Linked DNA regions of Macaca fascicularis. Each later gene encodes a partner of the first gene's protein in a complex. Links are inferred from orthologs where the notes say so. Each region holds a gene or a part of one and is shown in the gene's direction. Other genes may lie near its edges.

Region 1 (5,998 bases):
CACGGCTTCTCTGGCATCTATCTCCTGCAGTGTACAGCACCCAGCAGCCAGCATTTACCTGAGCACTTCCCTTGCGCACTTTTGTAGTAGAGTGCTTGCAGTGAAACATCTCCCCTTGAACAACTTTCTCTGGTGTTCTAGAGGATGGATGTCCAGCAAGTTCTACCTACATAGCATCACAGTGACTATTCTGCCATCCAATCACCATAGCCATGTCCTCTCTAGCATGGCCTGGGCCTCAGCCCTGGAACCTCTTTCTTAGATGTGGGGGCACTTGAAATGTTAACATATGCCTTCTAGTTGAAGTTTGCCTACTTCTGTCCCAAAAACCTATAATGTTTTTTACACACTCTGTCTTTAGGAAAACGAGACAAAGTTTGGAATAATGTATATGAAGCTGATGATGAGGAGCTTGTAATGCAAGTTTCCAGGGGATCTTTGACACGTTAGAATGCTATGAGATGTTTTAAAAGAAGGCATGTAGGTCAAGTCACAGACTGTTAGTTAAAATGAAAAGATTTTAGAAGCAATCATCGGAGGAAGGGAGTTAAGTTCCTAATTTACATCTGTTTTTTTTCCTTAGCTTTTACAGAGGATGCCTAAAATAAAACGAAATTTTAGAATTTGATTTCTTGTGAAAGTTTGTAATAAATGGTATATTCTTTGTATTTTAACTAATAAGGCTATGATGATACTTGATTAGTTGTTCAGTCTGATTAGATTCAACTGCCTTTAGTAAAATCCATTAAAAGCGCTTATCTCCAGCACAATGGGGCAGTAGTGTTGCTGGAGTTCAGCTAGTGTTGAGGGTAGGACTGGAAGTAGGAGTAAAGTACAGGTGAGTGTCCTTACCTACCTCTCTCTGTAACAGGTGAGATTCCTATTAAACTGAAATTGCAGAGATTCAGGGATAATTTGCCTGTCCAACAGAGAAACCTGGTGAGATTCACTCAGGATGGTGGCAGAAACACTAAAGGAAAATATTACGGAAACTTATAGGGAATAGTCACAAACTTTTTGAAAGGCCAAAAGGTTACAGAGCTTGTAATAATTGAACAGACTGAAGGCAGCCAGTTCTTCCCTTAGAGCATTAGGTCATAGGGTAAATACTAGGGACAATAGCGGCTTCCGCAGTTCTGTTTACCCTACCTCCATTAACTGACCTTTCAGCAGTATAGCCCTCCCAGAGTTGAGGGGAGGCCGACCCGGATATTGCCCCCAGTGGTATTTACTTTAAACCGCGGTACCTGAGCTTTAATCATTCGTAAAACTACTCTCTTAACCATGTTAATTACCCTCAAGTGTTTTGACTCAGAGCTTCTGTTGTTAATTGTATGCTAAATAAATGCCTGCAGTGCGAGCTGCTCAGGGCCGGCTATAGTGACAAACTTCTCTTGGTGGACAGGTGGATGGGCACTCGGCAGGACTGACAAAGCGGAATATCTGTATCAGTGTACGTTTTATTTATCCGTCGTTTAGGTCAGGGTCTGAGGGCAGAACCCTGCAGCTAATGCCCTCTCGTGAGGAGCAATACCTCAACTGGTGCCCTCTGTGAGGCCAGTCAGGGGTCTGCAGAAACAGACTCGCCGCAGTTGGAGCCCCTCTTGAGGCAGGCTGCAAAGGAAGTGTGAGGACCACCCTGGTGAGGAAAGCTGCGAAGGAAGCGTGCAGGAAACGCGACGGACCCCCGGAAAACGAAGATGAGGAAAGGAACGCGGTGAAGTCAGTGAGTAATCAGTAAAGTCATTAGTGCCCACTCGAGGTTACCAAGTTCTGGGGGAAGTTAGGTCAAGCTGAGTTTTCATCATAGGACAACAGTTAGCACAGCAGAAACAGTACATAACAGTATTAAAACAGTTGTCTAAGGCTAGAGGAGCCTCAGTTTTGCAGGCTCAATTAAAGGACCTAATCATCCATGCTAAACAAACTGCCGTAATGCAAACTGTTAAATCCCAAAGCCCATGGTATCCAGAAGGAATGCTAGATGTAGAACTTTGGGATCAAGTGGGGAGAAATTGTAGCATTAGGCGCCAAGGCGACAGGTCCCAGGAACAGCTTTAACGTTATGGGCTTTAACTAGAGCGGCTGTGGCTCAGTTACACACAGAAGAGCCTAAAAAGAGGAAGTAGGAGAAAACTGTCGCCTGTCTTATCACCTCCTCTTCTCTGGGCCCTTATATCACAGGGCCAACATAACAAAGAGGAAACGGAGGTTTTACCTGAGCCGCGGCCTCCAATAGATAAGAAAAAAGAGGATACGCTACAGCAATCACTTCCTGTTTTCAGCAGGCAGCACTAGAAGGAGAGCTCTTAACCTGCCCAGTAATGCAAGATCAGCAAAGAAATCAGGTACATAAAGATATGATAAAAAGCATTAGAGGCTGGAGCCCTGCGGCCAAGCAGGCAGTAGACAGAAGGAAAGGCTCAGCAGCAAGGAAGCTCGCAAACACTGAGCTGGCAAATGGTCCGGGGAACTCGCCTGCACGGCGGCAGTAGCAGTGAGGAGCCAGGCCCAGCGCGTTGAAGTTAGCCTACTGCAGAGGGCCGGGAGGCGCGCAGCGCCGGAGTCCGCCCAGCCGGCAACAGCTGCCCTGAGGTAGCGGGAGGGGGCGGCACAAGCGAAAGAAGTCGCACAAGTGTAACAGCCCCCGCCCCGGGACCCATCTGCTCAGCTTTCTAGCTCTGCAAGTGGCCCACAGCAAAATCTCGTGTGCTCCTTGTTTACTAACGACCTCCTTGATTATAATTCTCTAAGATTTAAGTAAAACGTAAGAAGTTGTAAAACCTCTTTTCTAATAATGGCTTCTGTTATCTCTCTCCTACCCCTGACTTAGCTCTCCAAATCCAATTTAAGTAAAACAGTAACCTCTGAAGGGAGAGATTACAGAGGGCCCATGAATTAGTTAAAAAGCAATTAAAAGCTAGCATGCAAAACCACACATTGCCCTTTAAAGGAGAACTTTAAACCTAATTGAATGATGTATGTTAAATTAGAAGGTAAAAATGTGCCCTTCTCAGAAAGTGAAGAAAAGTTGTATGTAAGTGTAGTGAAAACATATGCATGAATGACTGTCTTAACCCACTGATTACAGATAGTCTTTGATTTGTACTTGCTAAAAGAGTGCTGAATTGAGTTCCCCAGCTAGTGAGTCACTGTTTTCAAGACTGTTTGCTACATTGGAGTCCCTAAATATAGTCAGCCTGAAAACTCGATTGCGAGATTTAAGCTATTCTGCCTGTGGCTTTAAGCACATGGTTAAAGTATATTTGAGTCTCTGCTTCTAGAAATGCTTTCAAATTTTCTTTTCAAAATTCATGTTACTTATTTCAGCTTGCCATCTTAATGCAGTCAATTGATAAGTTATGACCCTGATACCATCAGGATTCATTTAAGAGGCAATTCAAAGTGGCATTGCAATCCCCCATACCTAATGCTTTAACACTGTTTACTGATGGGTCTGGTAGAGACCATATAATCCAGTCACTCAATCTAAATTTACTAGCACTCAGCTGAGGTTACTGTTTATTAAAGAACTTTTACAGCCTCAGTTAAGTTCACTCTGGAGCCCACTCTGTGTGCTCTTTTTTCCCAGCTTCAGTAATTGCTAGACCAATGTACACATCCTATTTTTATTACACACATTTGAGCCCACAGCTCACTGCCTGGCACATTGGCTTATAGCAATGATCAAGCAGAACTTCAAGTTATGGTATCACTACTTGACCAACTCACCCAATCACATCTGTTTTTCCACCAAAATTGGAAAAATGTGTCTAAACAATTTCAATTTACCCAGAGGCTAGCTAAATAAATTATCTACAATGCCCAGATTGCCAACTCACAGGCACATCCCCTCCTTCAGCAAGTATACCCTGGAGGATTGGAACCCAATCAGTTATGGCAAACAGATATTGCACCCCTGAATTTGGAAAACTAAGATATGTGCATTGATACCAACACTCATTTAATTAATGCACATGCTTTGCCTGGAAAGTCTACTCAATATGTCATTAAACATCTTTTAAGTTTTGCATTTATAGGACAGACCACAAAAATAAAGACTGACAATAGTCCAGCTTGTACCAGCTCACAATTTCAACAATTTTGTCACACGTGGAATATCAAACATTCCACAGGCATCCCATATAACCCCAAGGACAGGCAATAGCAGAAGGAGCACAGTTCACCCTTAAAAATATGCTCAAAAAAACAGGAAAAAGGAATATAGGTAAAGACCCTGCAACACTATTGGCACAAGCCTTATTTACCCTTGTTTTTTTAAATTTAGATGACAAATTTTAATCAGCTCTAGAAAAGCACTTTACTAAAACCTCTCAAGGCATAAAACCTGCAGTTGTATGGAAAGATGTGAACAATATATGGCATGGTCCAAGTGAATTATTAACGTGAGGAAGAAAGTATGCTTGTGTCCATACCTAGAAAGAAATAAAGGGAAAGAATGAGTAAGAGACTAGAAAACAGATCAGAAAGAGACGCAAAAAGAAAAACTAAGGAAAAACTAGGAATAAGGGAAAGGAAATATTAAGCAAGTTATAAATATAGGAATGTACCTTTAGTAATGAAGCTTATAAAACACAGCCAGAAAGTTAAGGCATGTTGAAGACTGTGAAAGTCATGAAGAAATTTATGCAGGAAATGTATACTTTTTGGTTTTAAAATGTTAATTATGAAAATTTTATGTGTAAACATACTGGCAAAAGTTAAAAAGGTATCATCCAGTTTTTCTGTAAACATTAAAATAAAGCACAAGTTTTTCTTAAAGCACTAACCTGCTCTTTAAAGATTGTAAAAATCTCTTAGCACACGCACCAGCCCTAGAATTTCTAGCACCAGCCTGGAGACCATGTTCTCATCAAAGGAAGGAAAGAAGGAAAAACTCAAGCCAGCCTAAGAAAAACCCTACAGGACCCACAGCCTCAACAATGAGGCTTCCACAAACAACACAGACCCCAGACATGCCGACGCCAAAGGCTAAGCCAAATAAATTATTCGTTTTTAATTCTCTCATTTTGTCTACTACCTATACCTGCTACACTCTATTAAGCTCATCTCTTAAATCTGTCTTTTTCAGCCCTGTTACTTAAGCAAACACACTTTCCAGCTTCCAGTAAGTTAACTGCTTGGCTGGAAGAAGTTAACATACCCCCAGTAGTGTTCTTAGTAACAGCACTCATCAAACTGAAGTGTCAAGTAACACTACAGCTCACTTTTTACCTAGAAAACAATGCTGCTAATTGTACTCATAATTGTCTTATGTTATTTGCTAATTCTAGGATGGAAAGCCGCAATAAGAGCATTTGTGTCTGGAATTGGCAGGTTCTTGGTCTCACTGACTTCAAGAATGACCCCGCGGACCCTCGGGGTGAGTGTTACAGTTCTTACAGATGGTGTTTCTGGAGTTTGTTCCTTCTGACATTCGGACGTGTTCGGAGTTTCTTCCTTCTGGTGGGTTCATGGTCTCGCTGGCTTCAGGAGTGAAGCTGCAGATTTTCCGGGTGAGTGTTACAGCTCATAAAGGCAGCATAGACCCAAAGAACAGCAGCAAGATTTATCGTAAAGAAAAAGAACAGAGCTTCCACAGTATGGAAGGGGATTCAAGCAGGTTGCCCCTGGCTGGCTCAGGCAGCCTGCTTTTACTCCCCTATCTGGCCCCACCCACATCCTGCTGATTGGTCCATTTTGACAGAGTGTTGATTGGTGCATTTACAATCCCTGAACTAGACACAGAGTGCTGATTGGTGCATTTACAATTCTTTAGTTAGACACAGAGTGCTAGACAGAGAAGTTCTCCAAGTGCCCACTAGGTTAGCTAGATACAGAGCACCAATTGGTGCATTTACAAATCCTGAGCTAGACACAGAGTGCTGTTTGGTGCATCTACAATCCTCCAGCTAGACATAAAAGTTCTCCAAGTCCCCACTAGACCCAGGAGCCCACCTGGCTTCACGTAGTGGATCCCACACTGGTACTGCAGGCG
Region 2 (6,080 bases), on another chromosome or scaffold:
CTTTAGTTAGGTTCTGATCCTAGTACTTCATAGTTTGTAAATGAGACAGATAATTTTTCATAGCCTTCATTTTGTCATCTGTGAAAGAGAGGGCTTTAGGTATATTGATTTCTTAAGGATCCCTTTGCTTGAAATTCTGATTCTAGAATCTCAAATGGAAAATTTGTGTTCACATTGCACATGGTGTTTGGTTTTTGTTTTCAAAACTTTGAGCATTAAATCTCAACAGCTTATTTTCTTGCAGCACAGTGAAGAGTCCTTAAGAACGTATTACATGATGGGAAATGAGAAATAACTGCAGTGCAAGCCTGATGAATGTAATTCACCTTGGGGAATAGGTGTCACCCTGAGCAACACCAGTACTATCTCCTCAAATATGAGCCAAAAGGTGTGTCTCAGGCAGTTTCGACGAGAGTTTCTCCCTACACTTCTAGAAATTTGCAAGACAAGTTTACAGAAATTACTCCTCTTTATTTCCCAATAAAGATAATGTAATAGATCTATAGAATATTAGAATAATCTTCTGGCCAGTGGAGGACTTGAGGGAAATAATTAGAATCCACACATTCTTTCCTTTTATGGAACAAATAAAATGTACAAGCAATGTCCTTGTGGAATCCACTGTACTGGGCCAGCATGATATGGCTGTAATCTTAGAGTTGTGGTTTCCAAATTTAGCATGCTTGGGACAATTTCTTTTTGGTGCTTTGCTGGTGAACAGGATATGTGATACCATTAATTTAGCCTTTATCAAAAACTAGTTCAAGACCAATAGCTCCTTCTAGAACACAACATTTTAGCAGAATAGAGCAATATTTCCCTCAGTAATAGGTCATATTTCACAGAGGAGTGTTAGTTTTCTGGGGTAGTGGGTATAATTAAAAAAAAGTGATAGGTAGATAGAAAGATAGGTAGGTAGGTAGATTAGATTAAATTGGATTAGATTTGATGAGATAGATAGGTTTTGTGTTCAGGGGAAAAGGAGGTTAAGCAAGCCTAAGTAGGTTTTTTGGTTGAAGGTCTTCTCAGAACTTCTAATGTGTCAGTATGCCTTGTAGATCTCTAAGTGGCAGGGGCAGAGATTGGGGTACAGATTTCCCAAACGTATTTGTTTAAGAAACCTGCTCTTCTCCCCCAGAATCTTTTGTGGAACTTTTGCCTCATGAAACACAATTTCAGAAATAATTTGTACACGATGACTGTGTAGAATGTTTTTCTTGTTAGGGTTTTCAGTTTAGGTAAGGCCAAGGCATTTTTTTAATAACACATTGAAAACTAGATATGATATCAAGAGAAAAAGAGTTATGCTTGGCTACTTAGAATGATGTATTATTTTTAATAAATTTGTATTTTCTGTCATCAGTATTACTATTCCTTGTAGAGTATTTTTTTATGCCCGACGCTAATATGCTATGACTTGGTAAAATTAATTTCCCCTAGGATTTAAATAACCAGATTAATAAATCGTGAGTTGTAGAGAGTCTTGGAATTGCCTGAATTGACATTAAAATATTTGTTTTGAAAAATGTATTTTTAACCTTGGTTTTACATAACCAAGGACACATACCACATTATAAATATTGTGATGGTTTATTTTTCCAAACTTTTCTGAATGTGGGGTACCCATTGAGTAATAATGCACATCACCAATGAATCTGTAAAAATTGACATGATGAGTAGAATTGCAGAATTCAAAGATGATGATGATTATTTTTGAAACAGTGATGTTTCTAGAATTGTTAAATTATATATCAACATGTGTTAACTGCAACTTCTCATGTTTAATGATGTTTACAATTAATACAATACCATACTCGCCAGTATAAGACTAACAGTCATCATTAACTCAGAATAGATTCTTTGAAGTGGTTCAAAGGGCTTTTCATAATAAATAACTAGCCTCTAATCAGCTAATATAAAGTGGGTATTTTTTAGGATGTGAGAAGTACTGGTGTGTCTGATAAAACATATAATTTGGGTTAACAAAATGAGCTTGAATGATCCAGATTCTCTACCCCAAGTCAGAAAGAAGTCCGACATTCCAGTGAAAGCTTTATTTAGACAGAGATGAGGAGTCTTTGAGATAACAGGCTTTGGACTGTGCTATCTTGAGTGTTAGAGCTGAGTAGTTTTTGTGGAATCTCTAAGTCCTTTTTACACTCTTTTATGAATGAATAGAATTAGTAAAAGATAAATAAATTTTCTCTTTTGGATTTCTTAACCAGTGGAAAAAATGTTGACTTTAAAAGTTCATAAAATCAAGTTTTGCCCAAGAATATGTTATGTCCACTTGTGAGGCCAGCCTGGTAGACCTCTGGGATCCTGTTCTGTTCACTCACACACCACTGAGATAAGGAGTGAAGTGTGGGCTAAATAGGGCTGAGGCTTGGGCAAGGGCGTTTCGAACAGAGCACCAGAGACATCAGCATCTCAAGGGCGCTGTGGTACGAAAAAGGACGCCACATGAGTAAATTTTAAAAATAACTATTTTAAAGGGTAAAAATGAGGGTCCCTGTATTTGAGGATGTAAAAGATGAAACTGAAGAAGAAACAATAGGGGAAGAAGAAAATGAAGAAGACCGGGTGAGTAAGAAAACACATACTCATGACCAGCATTTGTTCCTCTAAATTGATGATGAGAAAAATGTTCTCTTTCTTTCTTTTTTTTTTTTTTCATATAGGTCTTCTATAAGCCTGTTATTGAAGACTTAAGCATGGAATTGGCCAGAAAATGCACGCAACTCATTAGTGATGTAAGTGGCTGGAGTACTTTCTGTCTTATTTTGCATTGCACCTGTGGTATTATTATGTTATAGAGGCATAGAGCTGTGGGGGAAACCCTGAAATCACCTTTTAAAACACAGTCACTTTCCAGATCATGGAACAAAGTCCTGAAATTCTAAGTGATTTCGCCAAGGTCACCTATACAGAGAATTCCTGCTAGAGCAAGTCTCCTCATTCTTAATCCAGAATCCTGTCCCTTATGAGGTTTGCTGTCACTCTGGCATGAAATCATAAGGCATTGAATTGCAGTATTTATTCCATTTGAGAACTCCCAAAGATTTTAAAATGAATGTAATGATGTAATTTGTCTTGGGAGGCCCTCTATCTAAATGAGTAGTCATTTTTTAACATTTTGGGACATTCTGAAGAATCTAATGAATGGACTTGTCTTTCAGAACAGGAAAATGCATATATATATATATATATATATCTATGCATATAACTTCTATTTACAATTCAGGATTTGTGGATTACCAAGCTGCTTGCTAAGAACCCTGATATTAGAGAAGGATATTAGTGCAAGGGGCATTTTTGTTGTGACATTTTTTAGTAACTGGGATTGGTCAATATTACACTTCAAGGGAATCCCAGAATATATTGAATGATTGAACGTATAGTTTTATGTTAAATATGTAAGCTAGAATTCAAGAAGTACAAGGAAAAATGTTGCTCACCAGGAATGAGAATTTAGATGATCCTCATTAACAGTTCTAAGAGGATTGCTGGTCCAGAGGAAGGGTGACTCCTGTAGAGTGAATATGTGCCTGTGTCTTCATTTAGAGAGATGAGCACAATACTGGTTGTTTCTGTTGTTGATAATGAGCAAGATGATCAGAATGTTTTGCACGTTTGTTTTCAAAGGGAAGTCAGTCCTGGGCAGGAGGACAATGGGCTGGCACGTCCTCCAAAGTCAATCTGCCTGGGTTGACTCCACAATAACCTTGGAAAGGTTATGTAACCTGGCTGGGCTCCATCCCTCAGCTGTAACATTTATAATAAGATTAAATAATGGTAATGCATCTAAAATGCTGAATAAACTATCTGGAACATTGTGAGTACTCCACAAATGTTAGCTGTTATTAACTACTCTGTCTGTTACTTACTTTTACATCCATCCAATCACAGTTTAGATATGACTGGCTCTTTCTGACAAACCAGAAGACAAGCATAAAGGATGGTGGTGGAAATCATACCCTTTCCCATATACTTGACATGTGATGTAATTACCCTTTAAATTAAGTATTTCTTTGTGCTATTACTTAATAGTCATTAGCTACTGTATGTGAAAGTTCTTTGTAAATTGCAATAATAATAAATGACGACAACAATAACAATATTGGCAACAGTTAAGATTTAGTGACTACTATGTGCAGGGATTGCAGCTTGTGAGGTAGGCACTATGCTGTTTCTCATTTTTGAAGTGAAGAGATAGAGGCACAGAGAGGTTCAGTACCTTGCCTGGGTCACACAGTTAAGCAGCGGCAGTAATATTTGAACACAAAGGCCTCCCTCTTACACTGCCAAGTTATCTCTCACTGTAGGTTTCCATGAAATGTCGTTCTTTGCCTTATTATTATTACGCTACTATTAGTAGTAGTAATGCTACCTACTAAAACTCTAAGTTCCTAACCTCTTCCAGCTTTGATATATTTTTATTGAAGTGCAATTATAACTGAGCTAACTTGTGTTACATAAACCATCAGGACTAAAGTAGTAACTGTAGTTAGTAGGTGATTTTGTTGGAGTTGTTTTGGGTAAGATTGTTTATCAGTGACTTTAAAACCAATGTGTTGTGGGGGTGGTGCCTTTATCATTTTGCAAAAGCTTAAAGCCATACATTTCACACCCACGTAGGTAAAATTAAACAGATAGGCATACTTTCTGTTTATTAGAGATATTTGTTGCATGGTAGAATGTACTACTTAAATATTTAGGACATTATTATTGTGGCTTAATTTATATCTGTATTCACATTCACATTTTGCTTCCAAATAGAATTCTATACTTGCTGAGATACTTATTTAATTTTTAGATTTTTTCCTTTTCTTTTCCCCTGCCCTGCCCTGCCCTGCCCTGTCCTTCCCTGCCCTGCCCTTCCCTTCCCTTCCCTTCCTTTTATGACAGGGTCTCACTCTATTGCCTAGGCTGGAGTTCCGTGGTGTGACCACAGCTCACTGCAGTCTCAATCTCTTGGCTCAAGTGATTCTCCAGCCTTAGCCTTCCAAGTAACTAGAACTACAAGTGTGTGCTACCGTGCCTGGCTAATTTTCGTTTTTTTTTTTTTTTTGTAGAGGTGGAGTCTCACTATGTTGCCCAGGCTGGTCTCAAACTCTTGGCTTCAAGTGATTCTCCTGCCTCGCTCTCCCAGAGCACTGGGATTACAGGTGTGAACCAGCAGGCTGGCCCTGCTTCGTTTTTATAGATGAGAGGGATAGTTTCATGGACTTCTCTTCATGGTGTGGCCTAATTATTACTCTTTGAACTTTTTCCAGCTTTCCTATGTCCTTAATAACCAAGATGTAATAATCAGAACTGTGCAGAGCGGTACAGATGTGGACAGTCTAGATCATGTGTAGAGTAGGATAATGTTTTGCTTAGCTTCTAGCACCCTTTTTGATGCTATGAAGAGTTTCTTAGACTTGGGAGCTGCAGAAAGCTGTTAGATTAGCTTGATGATCTGTAGACCATCAGAGCCATTTAATTCCTAATTTCTGACCTGTAGCCCCTAGCTTAGGACCCATCATCTTTAAATAATAGTTTGAATTATTTTAACCATACGAGGGCTAGATCTAATCTGTAGTTTTCTGCCCTCTTGCCTGGCCCTTTGAGAACTTCTGAAGTTCATCTCAGTTTGCCGTTTCCCTTACCGAGACAGCTTGGAGTCAGTTGACCTGTAGACACTACTGTATCATCCCCTTGTCAGACAATTTGTAGAAATGTTAAGCAAGCTTGGCCTAGAGATCAGCCCTAGGAGGCCTGCACTGCTTCGAATTCTCCATAGAGAGAAATGTCAGTTTTTCAGGTCAAGTGGCTTCACTTCAGGAATCAGCATAAGGCATTTTTCTTTCTTTCTGTTTCTCCCCCATCCTAGTTTCTGCTTTGCACCTGCTCTACCAACATTATGGGGTTTCCCTCTGCACAACTCACTTCCCAGTTTTGAAGAACAGCTGGTCTTCTGAGGCAGCCTCTTTTATTTTTCTGTTAATCACATAATGCTATTATTTTCTCAGATATATTCTCGCAGATATACTTTCTCTCATATTTAGTCCTGTTAGTCTAATCTAACAATATCTAAT

What was found.
Region 2: the proteins of XIRP2 (region 1) and NEBL are in contact, whole or in part, in a crystal structure (PDB 4F14), measured with the Homo sapiens proteins. The link is inferred for Macaca fascicularis from reciprocal best matches to the Homo sapiens genes XIRP2 and NEBL. Residues at the interface, in NP_689594.4 of Homo sapiens: Pro2420, Pro2421, Pro2422, Thr2423, Leu2424, Pro2425, Lys2426, Pro2427; in NP_006384.1 of Homo sapiens: Tyr963, Asp964, Tyr965, Asp969, Asp971, Glu972, Ile987, Asp988, Asp989, Gly990, Trp991, Met1004, Pro1006, Asn1008, Tyr1009.

What each region holds. Positions count from the first base shown.
Region 1 is NC_088386.1:62,196,675-62,202,672, forward strand, and holds the start of XIRP2 (xin actin-binding repeat-containing protein 2), read left to right. Parts: upstream 1-2,277; 5' UTR 2,278-2,348; intron 2,349-5,294; 5' UTR 5,295-5,362; coding exon 5,363-5,383; intron 5,384-5,998.
Region 2 is NC_088383.1:21,723,894-21,729,973, reverse strand, and holds the start of NEBL (nebulette), read left to right. Parts: upstream 1-2,398; 5' UTR 2,399-2,502; coding exon 2,503-2,583; intron 2,584-2,681; coding exon 2,682-2,753; intron 2,754-3,458; exon of another isoform or gene 3,459-3,662; intron 3,663-6,080. UniProt on the Homo sapiens protein: Binds to actin and plays an important role in the assembly of the Z-disk. May functionally link sarcomeric actin to the desmin intermediate filaments in the heart muscle sarcomeres.